Linked DNA regions of Alligator mississippiensis. The protein of the gene in region 1 purifies or fractionates together with the protein of each later gene. This does not show direct contact. Links are inferred from orthologs where the notes say so. Each region holds a gene or a part of one and is shown on either strand. Other genes may lie near its edges.

What was found.
Region 2: the proteins of POLR3B (region 1) and CRCP purify together in Homo sapiens (affinity purification with mass spectrometry; 5 studies listed by BioGRID and IntAct, with this or other methods). This does not show direct contact. The link is inferred for Alligator mississippiensis from reciprocal best matches to the Homo sapiens genes POLR3B and CRCP.

The regions. Positions count from the first base shown.
Region 1 is NC_081827.1:104,550,115-104,557,774, forward strand, and holds the start of POLR3B (DNA-directed RNA polymerase III subunit RPC2), read right to left. Parts: upstream 3,450-7,660; 5' UTR 3,414-3,449; coding exon 3,342-3,413; intron 975-3,341; coding exon 912-974; intron 1-911. UniProt on the Homo sapiens protein: Catalytic core component of RNA polymerase III (Pol III), a DNA-dependent RNA polymerase which synthesizes small non-coding RNAs using the four ribonucleoside triphosphates as substrates.
Region 2 is NC_081837.1:10,087,906-10,096,042, reverse strand, and holds the start of CRCP (DNA-directed RNA polymerase III subunit RPC9), read left to right. Parts: upstream 1-4,652; 5' UTR 4,653-5,263; coding exon 5,264-5,466; intron 5,467-6,668; coding exon 6,669-6,705; intron 6,706-8,137. UniProt on the Homo sapiens protein: DNA-dependent RNA polymerase catalyzes the transcription of DNA into RNA using the four ribonucleoside triphosphates as substrates.

The sequences.
Region 1 (7,660 bases):
ACAGACAGAGCCCTCTGTGGCTGGGTAACAGCCAATCTTTGCTTCTCATACTCCAAGCCTTAGTAAGTCCAAGGTGTGTCCACACCTTGAATACTGTACCCAGTTCTGGTCCCCACACTTCAAGAAGAATATAGAAGAACTAAAGGTGGTACAGAGAAGAGCAACAAGGATGATTGGGAGTATGGTCCTATGGAGGGGTTCCCATAGGAGGACAGACTACAGAAAACAGGCCTATTCAGTTTAGAAAAGTGAAGCTTAATGGGGGGACATAAGCATTTACAAAATACTAAATGGTTAAGAGAAAAATCAGTAAAAAGTTAATACTAAGTCTCTCTCAATACAAGAACTAGGGGTTGCAAAATGAAACTAGAAGGTACTCAGTTTAAAATTAACAAAACAAAGTTCTTTTTCACACAGCCTGTCATTCAAGGGTAGAACTCATTGCCACCAGTTGTGGAAGCTGACAGTTTAGCCAGACCTAACGAAGTATTGGACAAATTCTTGGACAAAAGGTGCATCAGTAGCTATTGAGCATGGGAGTTTGGGGCACAGCCTGTGTACTTCCTAGACCTTAAGGGTGCCCAGACATGAGCAGGAAGATAGCTCTGACGTGCTGGAATTCCAGCACTTTGAAGCAGACTCGGAGAGGACTCCAGCAGCCTCCTGCATCTCATGCATCAGTGTCCCCATGCTTATAAATGGCAGGAGGGGAGGGGGGTGGGCACTTGAACTAAAGTTCCATCAAACAAGCTTGAGTTCAAGCACTCCCACTGCCATCTTCAAGTACAGGATGGTGCCTCGGCCGGGAAGAACCGACCGAGGGAAACGCTGGTTAATTAAGCGAACATCAGGCGGGCTGGTGGATGGAGAGGAGAGACAGCGTATTGGTTGGAAAAATAGTTTTTACTTACGCCGCTGATGGCCGCAACGCAGGCTGTAAAGGCTGCTTGCGTAGTTGCAACGAGTTGCTCCAACTGGCAAAAACCCGAGCCAGTGAGTCCACAAACGAACCGGGCATGCAGGGAAAGGGTACGTCGGGGATAAGCGTTCGGCGACGAGGAGAAAAATCGATAGTTGATCAGGCTATCGATTCGCTCTGCCACAAGTCAGGAATTCTTTTAAGTCACTCTGCAGCGTGCTCAAAGTTCTCCGACTTGGGCGGAAGTCGCGCGGATTTTTATACGGCTAGCGAGCCAATTACTAGCTGTCAAGTAGGAATAATTTAGAATCAGCCAATAATGGGGTGCAAATTTACATACAAATGGCGGGAACCTTTTTGCACCAGAGTTTACTCTCTGCAGCAGGAAATTCTACCGTGCAAAGAAGCTCCAGTGTGGCGGGAAAATTCCACTGTGCCGAGGCCCACAGGGCCCTGCCCCCCAGGGACCACGGGGCCTGGGACCACGATGGCTGCCCCATGCCGGAACCACGGGGGGGGGGGGAACGGCACGGCACGGCAGGGAAAGGCAGGGAGGGACCCCAGGCAGGGAAAGAGCCCAGCAAAAAGTGACCTGGGAAAAAGCTGAGCATGGGCGGGGGGAAAGTGGCCCCTCGCCTACCCTGTGCCCGGCACCCCACGCTGCAGCTGCTCGCAGCCTGCATGGGGCTGCCTGTGCCTGCTCCAGACAGCACCGTGGGCTGTGAGTGGCTGCAGCAGGGAGCGCCGGCCTTGGGGTAAGGAGGGGCCACTTTTCCCCGTGCTCAGCTTTTCCCTGGGCTCCTTCCTGAGGCGGAGGAAAGCAGCCACTCCCCGTCCTCGTGGCTGGTGCCCCGCACTGCAGTTGCTTGCAGCCCGTGCAGAACTGTCTGGAGCAGGCACAGGCAGCCCCACGTGGGCTGCAAGCGGCTGCAGCGTGAGGTGCCGGGTGAGGGGCCACTTTTCCCCCCCCTGCGCTCAGCACCACCTTGTGACCCAGCACCACTGCCACCCTGGGCCCCGCACTGGCTCTGGGCTCACCAGACAGGGCTGCACATAACAACAGCAGCTGCAGCGCCCCCCCGCTTGCTGCGCTGGGCAGTTTGCCACCACTGCCTCTGGGCTGCCCAACGCACGAGCTCCGGGCAGGCAGCAGCAGCCAACACTGCCCGGTGCGGCAAGTTGGGGGGGCGGGTGTGTGCAGCTGCTGCCGCTAACGGGCGAGCCCAGAGCTGGCTTGGAGCCCAGGCTGGTAGCAGGGCTGGGTTACAAGCTGGTGCTCAGCGCGGGGAAAAACGGCTCCTTGCTTGCCCCATGGCCAGCGCCCCACACTGTAGCCACTTGCAGCCCACATGGGGCTGCCTGTGCCTGCTCCAGACAGCCTCGCATGGGCTGCAAGCGCCTGCAGCAGAGAGCGCCAGCCATGGGGCAAGCGAGGGGCCACTTTTCCCCATGCTCAGCACCAGCTTCTTCCCTACTAACAAGCAGGGGGTCAGGGCTGTGCACTGCCCTCTGCCTGTACTGCAGGGCTGAAGGGCACTGGGAGTGAATGGGCAGGGGTCCAGTGGGAGCACGGGGCCCGCATCTGTGTCCCGGGGTCAGTGCTGGTGGGGCCCAGAACAGGGTGGCAGGAACACAGGGTCCCAGCCCGCAAGGGCTCTATGGAGCCGGGCCAGCTCCCTCCTCCCTGCTGGTGCAGCCCAGCCTGGCTCCACGGACCCCTGCCAGCCTGTGCCCTGCTCTGGGCCCCCCTGGTACTGGCCCTGGGATATTGGTCCCAAGATTGTGACCAGGCGGCGTGGCACCTGTCAAGGGGCAGGTCTATCCATGCAGCCCTCGACAGCCTGCCAAAACTGGGTAAGCGGCCCTCTGCCTGAAATAACTGCCCGCCCCTGCCCTATCATCTGACCCAGCAAGTGGCAACGTTCTTTTTCTACCCTGGGAAATGACAAGGCCTGTTCAGCATGCCAGTACCTGCATGTGGCACCAAGCTGGTTGCCATTGCTTCCCCTGTCCCACGCCAGGCACCATATCACACCAAACCCTGCATTCTCAGGGCCCCAGGAGGGACACGAGCCCTGCTAGGAAAGAAGCCCCCAGGCTCACTCAGAGGAGAAACTGCAGAGCCATGGTACCTCTGGCATCCCCCTAAAGCAGGCCAATGGCCTTTCCCCTCCCCCACCGCCCAGCCCCAGGGGAAGGGGAAGGGCAGCCTCGGGCGGCTCCACTACAGGGGAATGCCGGCAGGCGCCCCGCGCATGCGCAGCCGAGCAGCCAGCACAGCGCGAGCCCAGCGTTCGGGCAGCCGCCAGGGGGCGGAAGAGCAGAGGGGGCGCACGCATGCGCGCTGGGGGGATGGGGATTCAGCTGCAAGGGCTCGCGCCAGTGCTAGCGTCCCTTCCAGGACTTGCGGGGAGGCGCTCACCTCCACGGTGTTCACGGGAGCCGCCGCCTGCTCCGGGCTCACCGCCCCCAGCTCGGCTGCCATCTCGTCCATAGTGCGGGCGGGGAAAGAAGTGGAGGCGGAGCCGGCGGAAGCGCGCACAATGGACCGCGGTGCAACAGCCAACCCCACCCGCGCCGCAGCCGGAACGTTCCGCCGCTTTTCAAGACCCGCCGAGCGCCACCCGCACCCACCCCCGCGCGGGCTCCTGCTCTGCTCCCTGCCCTGTGCTCGCTCCTGCAACTCCTGCTCCGTTTTCTGCTCTCTGCCCCATCTCCTACTTTGCTTTCTGCTCCCCATCCTATGCCCCCGCGCCTGTCTGCTGCGCGGCTTTCTGCTCCCTGCTCCCTTCTCAATCTTCTGCTTTGCTTTCTACCCCGTGCTCCCTCCCTGCTCTGCTTTCTGCTCCTTGCCCTGTGCACTCTTTCCCTTCTCTACTCATGCTTTCTGCCCAAACTCCTGCTCCCTGCCCGATTTGCTGCTTAGCTTTCTGCTCCCTCCTCTGCCCTCCACTGTGCCACATGCTACACACCCAGGCTACCTGTGCCACCCCTACCATCGCACCTAAATAGGAGTGGGGGATTTGCCCAGGGATCACCCAGGATATTTGTGGTAGAGGTAGAACCGAAAGTTTCCCGAGTACTTGTCTGGGGCTGGACCAAGAGGGCCACCCTGTCCTCAGCGAAGGCTGCAGCTCTGGAGCCTCCTCAAGATCCCACCACGAACTGGGGAGATGTGAGCAGAGAGAAATGAGTATCAGCCGCACAAGTAGAGCCAGGAGTGTCAAAAGGAAACCTCAGGGCACGTGCAAACTAGTGACCCTCCCTCTTTCTGCAGGGAGGGTGCTTTTCAGGTGATTTAAGTGGCAGTTTAAAGGTAGCAAGATTCACAGTAAAATCTTAGTGCTCCATTTATATTAAAGTTTGTGCTTAATAATTAAGTTCCACTTTTTGCACCGGAGTTTACTCTTTGCAGCAGGAAATTCTACCGTGCAAAGAAGCTCCAGTGTGGCGGGAAAATTCCACTGTGCCAAGGCACTAAAATCATTGGGTTATGACAGAATGCTGATGCACAAGATGCAGCAGCACTAATTAGACTGGCATTCAGGGCTGCTCTAATTAAAGCACTGCCTCTCCCATGCTCAGAGCACTTGTAAAAGTACCCTAAATGCTGGAGGCTGCAAGTGACAGGAATGGGGAGGGGGAAACCCTGGTCACACCCAGTTCACACTCCCTTTTAGCATCCTCTCCCAGCCACCATGCAGCACAAGAGATGGAGCAAGATGGCCTATGATAGGGGTGGGCAAAATACAGCCCACGAGGCCATTCTATCCAGCCTGTGGGGCCCCTAAAAAAATTAGAAAATTAATATTCATTTGCCCTTGGTTCCTATCAAAAATGCCCTGCCCCCTTGGTCATCATTTTGGAACTGGAAGTCCCACCCCCTAATCCCTGACCTTTGCCACCAGAAGTCCCTCCCCTTTCCCCCAGAAATACTCCTTTTGGGAAGGGGGTTTGCCATCTTGGAACCAGAAAAATACCAAATTATATTCTAAAAGTCAAACATTAATTTGATTAAAAAAATATTTTGTCCTGATTTACTTGTGTTTGTGTAGTGTACATAGAAGTGATAGTATAATAGCTTAAAATTAAGTCTTACCCTTGTATATTTAGTATAGGTTTGTGGGAGGCTGTATGTGCATGAGGTTTGTGGGGGGACAGCTGTAAGTGGGTGGGGGGAGGGTGACTGGGAAGGGTTGTGGCATATGTGGAAAGGGAGAGTGGCTGGGGGTGTGTGGGGCGTTTATGCCCACAGCCCCTGCCACCAGCATCAGCAGCAAGCCATGAGGCCTCGGGGCCCCTGGCAGGTGGAGGCCCTACCAGTGCTCCTGGGCTCAGCACTCCCACCGCCCCTGGTGCCGGGGCACAAGCACGGGCCCTGTACTCCTACCTGCCCAGTCACAGCCACTTCCCCTCCACTGCCTTTCTCCCATTACTTCCCTAACTCCCTGCTATTGCTGCTCCTGCTCCCCCACCACCACCTGCTCCAACACCACATGGTTCCCAGTTGCACAGCCAAATCTGCAGAACACAGCAGGAGCCTGCCCAGCCGGTACTGCAGAACCAGCCAGGAATTGAGGGGGCCAGGCTAGGCCAGCTCCTGCCATGTCCTGTGGTCCAACAATGCAGCCAGGAACCACGTGGTGCCAAAGCAGCCAGCAGACGGGCAGAGTGGTGGGAGAAGCAGCAGTTGCAGGCAGGGGCTCAGCAACAGCCAAGCAGGAATGTGGAGCCCAAACCAGTGCTCCGGTGCCAGGGCTGGCAGGGGCCCAGGGAAGGGCAGCAGAAGCATGGGGTGCAGGTTGGTAGGAACTCTATGGAGCTGGGCTAGGCTGCGCCAACAGGGAGAGCCAGTCCAGGCCCCCCACTCCTACCACCCAACCCCAAGTCCCCACTGGCTCTAGCCCCAGGGCACCAGTGCAGACCCTGCACTCCCACCCAGCTGTCACTGCACTCCCGCACACTGCCACTCTCCCCATTTGCTGCTACTGCAACTGCCATTTCCCTGCATGCCGCTGCCACTTTTCCCTGCTTGCGCGCCCAGCCACTGGCCAGTCCAGCACATGGTTCCCAGTTCCACCACCGGGACTGCAGGTTGCAACAGCTGGCCCAGCTCCAAGAACTTGGGCAATTGCTGGCAGTTCTCCCCTTCCTGCCACATCCTAGCTAAGTTGCACCAGGATGAGGGAACAGCCCCAGGGCTGCCAAGCCAGAAGGCTCTGCTAGGCAGATGCTTCCAGTTGGGGCCAGGTTGTGGGAGGAGGAAGGGGGAAAAGCAGGGCTGGGTGGGCTTTGCTGCTGCAGCCGCTCCTAGGTCCTGCTACTGCTTTCACCTTGTCATTTTGACAGGCAGCCAGGGGTACATACTAGTTTTCTAAATTTTGGGGGGGGCCCCTTGGGCCGGATAGAACGGCCTGGCAGGCTGAATCTGGCCCACGGGCCATATTTTACCCACCCGTTATAGTCTATATAAAAAGTGCAATCCTTCTTTGAAACCTACGAACTCAAGACTGGCCGCAACAGCAGTTAAGCATATAATTCCCACTATCACCCTTCCTTAGTGGCCTAGCTCCAGGTTGCTGTGCTAGGTTTCCCCTAGGTCTATCATATTTAAAAGGGGTAGTATTGGCATTTTTAAAATAAAAAATTTGCATGGATTTAGCCTGTTAGTACTGTACAACTTCTGCCATGATTGAGCCTAACAACCAGTTGAAGGCAATGAGCCCTTCTCAAGGATAGGGACAGTCTCCCAGAACATGCCTGTATTAGAAATTACATGTCACTGGGAATTGGGCACCTAAATAGATTTGTAGGTCCAGGCCTTGGACTCAGAATCTAGTGGCAATAAGTCCCAAGCATTTATTATGCATAGGTAAAAGTCACTTTGAATATGCAGCCTCTCAGTTTTACTAGGTGTTCTTGGTGTAGCACAAGAAATGCTACATTCACCCAATATCCATTTTTCTCTACCATTGGTTATAGCTCTTATTAAAAAAATATCAGTCCAATTTAGTAAGGAGATCTTTCATCCCCTGGACATCTTAATATGTCTTGAATAGTTTTAGGTCTAGCACTAGCTCCCTTTTGTTTTTGATATTAATAATGGGAATAGGAAATAGGAATCAGCCTTGTAAATTAAAAGACAACACAAGCCTTCACTTATGAGGCTGACACAATTGCATTCATGTCTGCTACATGACCAGAATGGTTCTGAACAAAATGCAAATTTTCTGGGTTTTGTGGAAGTTCTGAGCTATCGCTTCATCAGATGTTATTTTGTCGTGAGGTTTGTGTAAATTATTTAAGGCTCGTTTCAAAACCATGAACTTCATTAAATCAAAACAGACCAAGGAATAAAATAGATAAAACACAAACAAACAAAAAAAACACCCAACACATTTGTTCTGCTGCCAACACTCCTCCACCAAGATAAACAATTTCAAAACAACAGCTGTTTTCTTAATTGTAGACTTCATTTTTGGGTTTATCCCTTTCCTTTACATGCATCAGCATGTGTTCTCTATGCTGGGAGGGACATGGGTGGGGGAAGAAGAGTTTTGTAATCAATTTCTCAGACATTTAACAGAAACAGTGTGCATGAATGACTGCTCACAAAAGTGCTAGCACAAACAGAATTTAATGCATACAAAAATCTTGCAAATATTTGTTTAATTTAATAAAGCTGTTACATAACATTTGTCTTATTTTCACCAACACGAATTCAGAGTGGAAGCAAATATA
Region 2 (8,137 bases), on another chromosome or scaffold:
TCATGTTCAGTCCTTTCAGTGCTTTATATAGTGATTTGCAGGAATATACTCTTTGTATTAGGCCTAACGCTAGAAATGAATTGACTCACATAACCTTTGCCCTAAAGTCATCCTATAGACTCGGTCTGCTGGTCAGTGAAATGCACTGTTAGCTGGGTTGGTGTGGAGCAGTGCTGACATGTTTTATAAAAAGAATTGTTTAATGAATTTTGAATGTAAAAAAGATGCAAAATGCTGAATACAGAAAACATCTTTCATGACAAAGAATAGATACATTGCAGATCTGCTTTCCATAGCAGTTACTATGTCCCCTGCTTTCAGTAGTTAATACCAAGGCTCCTCTCTCATTGAGCCTTAGTGGTAACAATCACAATCCTATGCTTGAAATGTTTATACGTTGCACATTTAGAAAATTCCATGTCTGCATTCCCTATGGATACTCGAATGTACACATCCCAAGCCGCTGAGTCCAATCAGAAGTACAGAAATTAAAAACCGAGATACCTGGGCTAATCACTACTTTTGCATCTTCTCTTTGGAAAGTAGTTTGTGTGGAGCACAGTGATAATTTTGGTTGTGCATGAACTCCAGAGCCCAGTGGCTGAAGTGCATAGCAGGGCTCAGGAACGAAGCCCTAGGAAAGATATCAAATAAGATGCAGATAATTACCTGGTGTTGGAAGACAGAAATGAGATGCTAAGCATAAAAAAGCAGGTGCACGTGGTATCGTATAGCACCCGGCAGAGCTGTCGCAGGACTTTGCTCTGCTGGTTTTGGCCATATTGTGCCAGGGTCAGTAAATCACATGAACAAACAAAGGCGACTCTAGCTCTCTCTGGAGTCTGTCTGTTGATCTGGGTGTTTGTTCATTGCTGTCACTGTGCAACGACTGTGGTGGTTCCAGGGGTATGACCGTGGTGGTTCATATTTCAGTCCTTTCATTGATGAAAGAGGCTGACTCTTCTAGAGAAGATACCATTTTGGGTCACCTCCCTGGGTCATTAGGGCTCGATGGCTATTTGCTGGATCCCAAGTAATAGCATGGCCCTAAACTCAGAGGACACAAGGAGTTTCTTGTATTGCGCAGGCCTGTCCTATGGTCACGGGCAAGGCCGTTGTTTTGCGTGCTGTATCCAAAGCAATTCTCAGCTGTGTCCGGAGAAGAGCGGAGCTCGCTTTCTCTGGGTTGAAACGGGGTTGATGCAAACTGTAATACAATATATTGAGGTTATAACCAGTGGGAGGGCGGTGAAGAAGGTGGAATATTGGTGTGTCAGCTGATGAGACCCATAAAAGCACTTTAGGAAGAAATGCCTGATGGCACCCAGGAGAGGATTTCCTATAAGGTATCATGTTGTTCACACAGGTGATGGCGACATGCTGTGCGTGCAAGGCCCGGAGTTCATTTTCTGGACGGACAAAAATGATTTGATTCACTCTTCCCCTTTTATTATCACAGCCGAAGCTGGCTGGGACACACACAACTCAAACTGGTGAATTCTGGGGTGTTTCTGCCTGTGCCAAGCCTTGTGCCAGCAGTGGGCCTTTCTTTTTGTGGGCAGGTGAAACCTCTCCCTTCACCGTCAGGAGAAAGGGCAAGAAGCAACCAAAGCAGCGGGCGCGCCTGCACATCACCCTATGGCGACATAGTGACGCATGGCACGCTACGGCGACGTATCGCTAGCTACGTCGCAGTAGTGGCGCGCTCCCCGCTTACGGTGCCCTGCTCTGGAGACACAGCGAGAAAATTTAAACACGTGGTGCCCATTTGGCACCGTCCAGGCGGTTACCACACCATGTTTTAGTACTTCCAAAAGCACAGCGCAGTCACACCGTTCCCGTATGGCGATGTGTAGATGCACCTAGTGTAGGGCAAAGCTGCAGAGACCCACAACCAAAGTGTTCGGTGCAGGGCAGACCCACAACCAGGACAGGGCACACCTGCATGGACCCACAATTGGTGCAGGGCAGACTTGCATGGACCCCAAAGCAGGGCAGGGCAGGGCACACCTGCATGGACCCACAATTGGTGCAGGGCAGACTTTCATGGACCCCAAAGCAGGGCAGGGCACACCTGCATGGACCCACAATTGGTGCAGGGCACACCTGCATGGACCCACAAGCAGGGTGCTGCAGGGCAGACCCGAAGGGACCCACAATTAGTGCAGGGCAGCCCGTGCAGGGCGTTGCGGCGCGGGAGGAGCGAGCGGGGCAGCCGCACCGCGTGCGTCCGCATTGGTGGTTCAGTGGTAGAATTCTCGCCTGCCACGCGGGAGGCCCGGGTTCGATTCCCGGCCAATGCAAGTGTAACCTTTTTTTGCCGCTTCCGACGTTCTTTTTCCCGGCGGCCCCCGCGCTGCGCTGCGCTGCGCTGCGCTTCGCCCCGCCCCGCCCCGCCCCGCCCCCTCGTCCTTCTCCTTGCCCCCGGGACGCAGCACGGGCGCCATGGACGTGTAAGGGCCGCGCGGGGGGAAGAGGCCGCGGGTGCGGGGAGAGGACTGGGAGAGTCGTGGTTTGTTTTCTCCCAGAGCAAAAATGTCCCCGGGTGGGGAGTGATTCACCCCCGGGCCGTTCCCCCTCCCAAAAACGCTATTTTCTTAACCCCGGGGAGAAAAGGCCTGGCCGTGCGCATGCTCCTGGCCGCGCAGTAGATTTGCAAGCGTGGGCCGCGCAGATGGCAACATGAAGGCCTCTGAAGAAACCCCGGGCGTCTCCGAGCCTCGCTTGACGGCGGTGACACGGGGGGGGACCAGGGGCGACGGCCACTTACTGAGTTTTGGACATTGGGGAAAATTTTCTCACTAGGAGGGCGGTGAAGCGCCGCAGCAGGTCACCCGGACGTGGGGGAGGCTGCATTCTTGGAGGTTTTTAAGGCCTGGATAGAGGGGGAGGAGGATGAGCTGTTTGGTTTAGAAATGGATCATTTTTGTTTAATTTCCTATAGGAGCGTACCATGGCAATTGTATTCTAAAGTATATCTTAAAAGAGTGGCTCTTATGGACTAAGATGAGACGAATCTGTAGTACATGAGGATGATCTTAGTAATTTAGGTTAAAAAAATACTTTTTTTTCCCAAAGGAATCTAAAATATATTTACGGAAGAGGTTTCAAATTAAGTCATTTTTTTTTTTCCTTTTCCATGTACAGGTTACTCCTAAGTGCGCTATGTAGATAACTGATGTAAAATCCCCAAATTAGAATTGCTATAAAAATAAACTGCATGCTGATATATTGCATGCATACTTTTTGGTTGTTCAGACGTTCATACGACGGTGCAGACTGACATAAAAACTGAAGTCTGTTTCTGCTTTGCCAATTTTTTTTGTAATGATACAAATCAACCTGAATAAGCACGCTGGCCATAATGTTTGCTATATTATTTCATTTAAAATCCTCGTAGCTTGACAAAGTACTGAACAGCAAGAGGACTTTGTAGCTATAATAAATTTGTATCTCCCCATACCCTTAGCAATAATCAATCCCGCTAGTAAAAACTTAATTTTTTAAGTAACAGCTTGACAACTGGATGGGTTTCTGTTTGCTGTTAATTGGTACAAAAGAAGTTTAAGTGCTTGTGGTCCCAAAAGGTTTACCATTTTAAAAACAAACCCACGCTTGATTTAAACAGTATAAAATCGCAGTTAAACGAACTGCTGATTCATTCTGTGCTTGCCTGTTGAATATACAGTCCAGGATCTTCTCAGTTTTTTTAATGGAAAGAATCTGTATGTAATTCTTCCATGGCGCTATTATTTCCAGAAACAAAGAACATCCTCCGTGCATAGGGATTTCTGCGGAGATAGGCTGAATGCAGATTTCAAAGAATTGTGTTTACCTAAGAACAAAACTACAAAAGCTATATGGCTTGTAAAACATGAATGGAAACTGATGCGTGTGTGAGCTCACTTGCTGAAGTTTCACTAGAATCAGCTAATTGGAATTTTAAGTTCATCTCAGCGTATTTTACAAGGTCCCTTTCATTTAAAAACAATGATAGAACCTGTGGACGTTTGGAAGGCATTCACATGTTTGACTGTGATGAATGTGACAGTGCTATTCAGAGAGTTGATGGTGCTTGACAATGCATTTTGCTTTTTTTTATGTGCTGTCGCAGACCTGAGAAAAGCCCTTTTTTTTCCCCTTTGTATGGTAACTGTCTGGTGACTCAGCAGAATGCATTGTTCTCAGGATATATGGCTAGCTCCTCGCTGCTTGTCCTACAGAAGTTGTATTTACTTGAAAATATGAAATTACAATATTTTCTAGTCTAATTAATGGGAGCATGCTCAATTCAGAAATACACTTTACTCAGATTGTTCGATCCAGCAATAATATGTAAGAGCGATTCTTGCATAATTGGATCAGCCCCGGGACTGTGGGGAGCAGCCCAGGCTGTGGCATGTGCGGCTGGTCCTGCTGCCCCCAGGGTGCAAAGCAGGCTAGGGGCAGCTCCTTCTGACTGCCACTGCCACTGGACCCAGCCTCACTGCCAGGAGTCCCACCCATGTGGGCAGGGTGGGCGGCCAGGTGGAGGGGATGGGGCTGGGGAGCGGTGTCCAGGAGCAGCGCGGGTGGGGAAGGCCAGGGCCAGGCTGGAGCCAGGATCACAGGGCAGTAAAAGGGCCTGGGGCAGAGCCTTGATCCGCTGCCCACGCATCCCTGCAGTGGGCACTGTTTCCGCAGGCAGAGGTGTGTGGGGAGCAGATTGCAGTTCTGCATCAGTTCCTGGCCTCACACTATCACTGCCCCAAGATCCTGGATCCGGCTCCTCTTGCATGTCCAGCTCCTGGATGCTGCTCCCCACCCACCTGCGGCCCCATCCCATCCACCTGGCCACACTACCTGCCCAGGATTGTGGGGCAGTGGCAGTGCAGGGCTGGGGCCCAGGGCAGAGCTGCGATCTGCTCCCCCCAGGCCCCTGCCCGCAGAACCAGCACCCATTGCAGGGGTGTGTGGGGAGCAGATCATTGCTCTGTCCATATTGTCACATCCCCCCCGGTTCCAGCCCTGGACCTGCCCACCTGTCCTGCTCATGGATGCCGCTTTCTGCCTGCCCCGCAGCTCTATCTCAGCTGCTGGCTCATCATGGAGTCACTTAGGGAGCTTTGGTGAGCTGTTGATGGTGGGGGTGATTGCTGACCTGGCCCACAACAGCTCACCAAAACTCTGTAAGCGGCCCTCCAGCCCAAATAATGCCCACCCATGCTATAGAGTATGTGTGTGTGCATAGTTACAGATACATATATAGACCTCACTTACCTGTATGTGTGTTTGTATACATTATCTATTGTGGCAGGGCACTGTGTGCGCCTGCCACTTTAAGGGCCTGGAGCTGGCAGCCACCAGGTGCCTGACGAGGGCAGCCATTTTAGAGGCAAGGGCTGCCTATATAAACAGGGCAGTTTGGCTGCTGGAGGCCAGGCAGCAACATCGCCTGGCTGGAGAGCTGCCGAAAACAACCTGGAGGTAAGGGAGGAGCTGAAGGGGATGGTAAGGAGGCTCCTGGTCCTGGGCATGACCTCAAACTGCCCCCTGCCGGGAGTGGGTGGCCTGGTGGGGCTCTCAGTGGCGCGGGAGCCCCCAGGAAATGCCAGGCCGGTTACCACCCCGGTGAAAGGCAGGTCGGGGCGCCTTAACCCCTTGCCCCCACCAGCGGGGGGGTAACCCCAGTGTTTGTAAAGGGCCTAGAGGGCGGACCCTGGGAGAAAGTGAGGGGCTTGAGACCCGACCCGGACGAGGGAGTCCCCTCGACTGGCCCATGCTGGGGCCAGGACCAGGAGGGTCTAAAGGGCGAGGGATGCCCAAGAGCCAGGGGCCTGGGGTCCCGACTGGCCTGGAGGTGGGCCAGGGCTAGTGGCCGAAGGTCCCGGGGGGACCACACCCGAGAGGGGAAAATGGCTTTGTGGGGGGCTAGGTAGCCCAGATGAAGGCGGAGAGGCCGCCTGATCAGAGGGATCGGGGAGGGGTCCTGTTTGGAAGATTCAGGGGCCCAGCGTGGGGGCCGGTGAGGAGATGAACACCTAGATGCCATCTGCGAGGCTTGGGCTGCGGTATTGGGGAGGATAGGAGCCACAGAGAGCACCCCCTGGCATTGGGGCACTAAAATGGGTAGCTTCCCGCTTATGTGACATCTATTAATGAATCAATTAACGCCAAGGCGTGGCAGGTGAGATAGCGGGCGGTTGGCCCAAGGACAGGTGGGCAGGCCATGGAGATCGGCCCTGAGGAAGCCCCCTGTTACATCTCAATATCTGTATCTACCCACTCGGTAGATTTCTGTTATTGTTTTGTGCGTCACTTTATCCAGACAAAACTTTAAGGAGCAAGGAATAACTGAATGGGCTGTTAATTGAAATGGTAGTAGGCTGTCCCAATTCAGAGGATTTTGCTGAGCAAGTTAAACACTACTTTGTGGATCAATTGAGCCAAATATTCTTGTCTAATAGTAATAAGCATAATTAGGTTGTGTAAAATATTCGTGACTGCCATAGGTAGCAACAGCCAGGAACAGTGGAGGAATTAACAAAATTGTGATCCTGAGAATTTTATTGGAAAGAATTCCTGAATTTAACGATTTCTACTTTTTAGTGTTAGTAGAGAGGAAGATGGTGATTTTTAAATTTTTTTTATACAAAATATTCTGAAACATGTTTTATTCCTTTTTCTAGAAAAGATGCCAATGCTGCATTGCTGAGTAACTTTGAGGTAAGTTTACTCGTACCCTAATTTTCAGTAGAGTTTAATGCCGTGATCAGCAGCTTTTTAAGACTGCAGGTCATATTGACACAGTTCAAGTCAGAGGCAGATGGACAAAGGGAGGTCCCATGGCAGGCACAGGAAAAACACACACCACTGCTGCTTCCCCTCGTGCTGGCGTGGGAAGAGTGCCTGCCACGGCCACTTTTCCCTGTACTTGGTCCCACTGCTTTTTTCCTTGCATGGGCACAAGGAAAGCATTCACCTCTGGTGTGGGCAAAGCACTTGCCACAGCCTTTTCTCCCCGCATTGACACAGGAAAAGTGCCTGCTGCTGGCACAGGGAATGCATCTGCTGCTGCTGCTTCCTATGCCAGCACCAGAAAAGTGCCCGCCACTGGCTTAGGGAAAGTGCCCACTACTGCTGCTTTTTCCTATGCTGGCACAGGAAAAGTGATTGCTACTAGAGGTGCACCAATACATGGGTCCCATATCAGATTGGCACCGATATAAGGAAAACTGACTATCAGATATTGGCTTTTTTTGGCTGATGTGGCCAGTAATTCCCCATGCATCCGCCCAGCCGCAGTGCAGCACACAGGCGGCAGGAGCTCAGCCCAGCAGCATGGAAAGCAGCTGGGTCTGGCTGGTAAGTCTGTTGTGAGGAAACGGGCATGGGGACGCAGATCGAGACCCCTGTGGTGAGGGAGGAAGTGGGGCTAGGCAGGGGTTGGGGCAGGTGCTGCACAGCTGGCGTGGAGCGGGGGACAGAGCCACAAGCGACTTGTCCGGAGGGTGCGGGGAGAGGGTGGCAGCTCTCACTGCTGCATGCACCCCAGGGGGGCATGGCAGGTGTGTGCCCCTGGATCTGCGCACAGGGCGAGGACAGGCTGTTGCTGTGGGCTGGGGCCGGGGCTGCGCGGAGCTCTTCCTGGTGGGGGGGCTTGGGCTGGGGCTGCGCTCGGGACAGGCAGCGGTTCTGGGAGAGAGGTTGTGGGGGCTACAGTGAATTTTGGGGTGGCTGTAGCCTCCCCATATACCCCTCTCAGTGCTACCACTGCCTGTCCCGAGTGTAGCTCTACCCAGCCTCCTGCTGGGAAGAGCCTGGTGCCCACCCTCGCCTTGTGTGCAGATCTGGGGCACACGCCCCCCCATGCCCTCTGGGAGCTACCACCCCCTCCCCATGCCACCTGGACAAGCCACTAGTGGCTCTGTCCCTCACTCCGCCCTGGCCGTGCAGTGCCTGCCCCTACCCCTGCCCCATCCCCACTCTCTCCTTTATAGCAGGGGCCTCAATCCCCTTCCCCCGCAACAGACTTACCAGCCAGTCGCCCCTTTCCATTGTGCCTGGCTGCATATCAGAATCGGATCAGTATCGGCTGATATGGCCCATTAAAAATCAGCCATCAGCCCCAAAATTTTCTATTGGTGCACCCCTAACT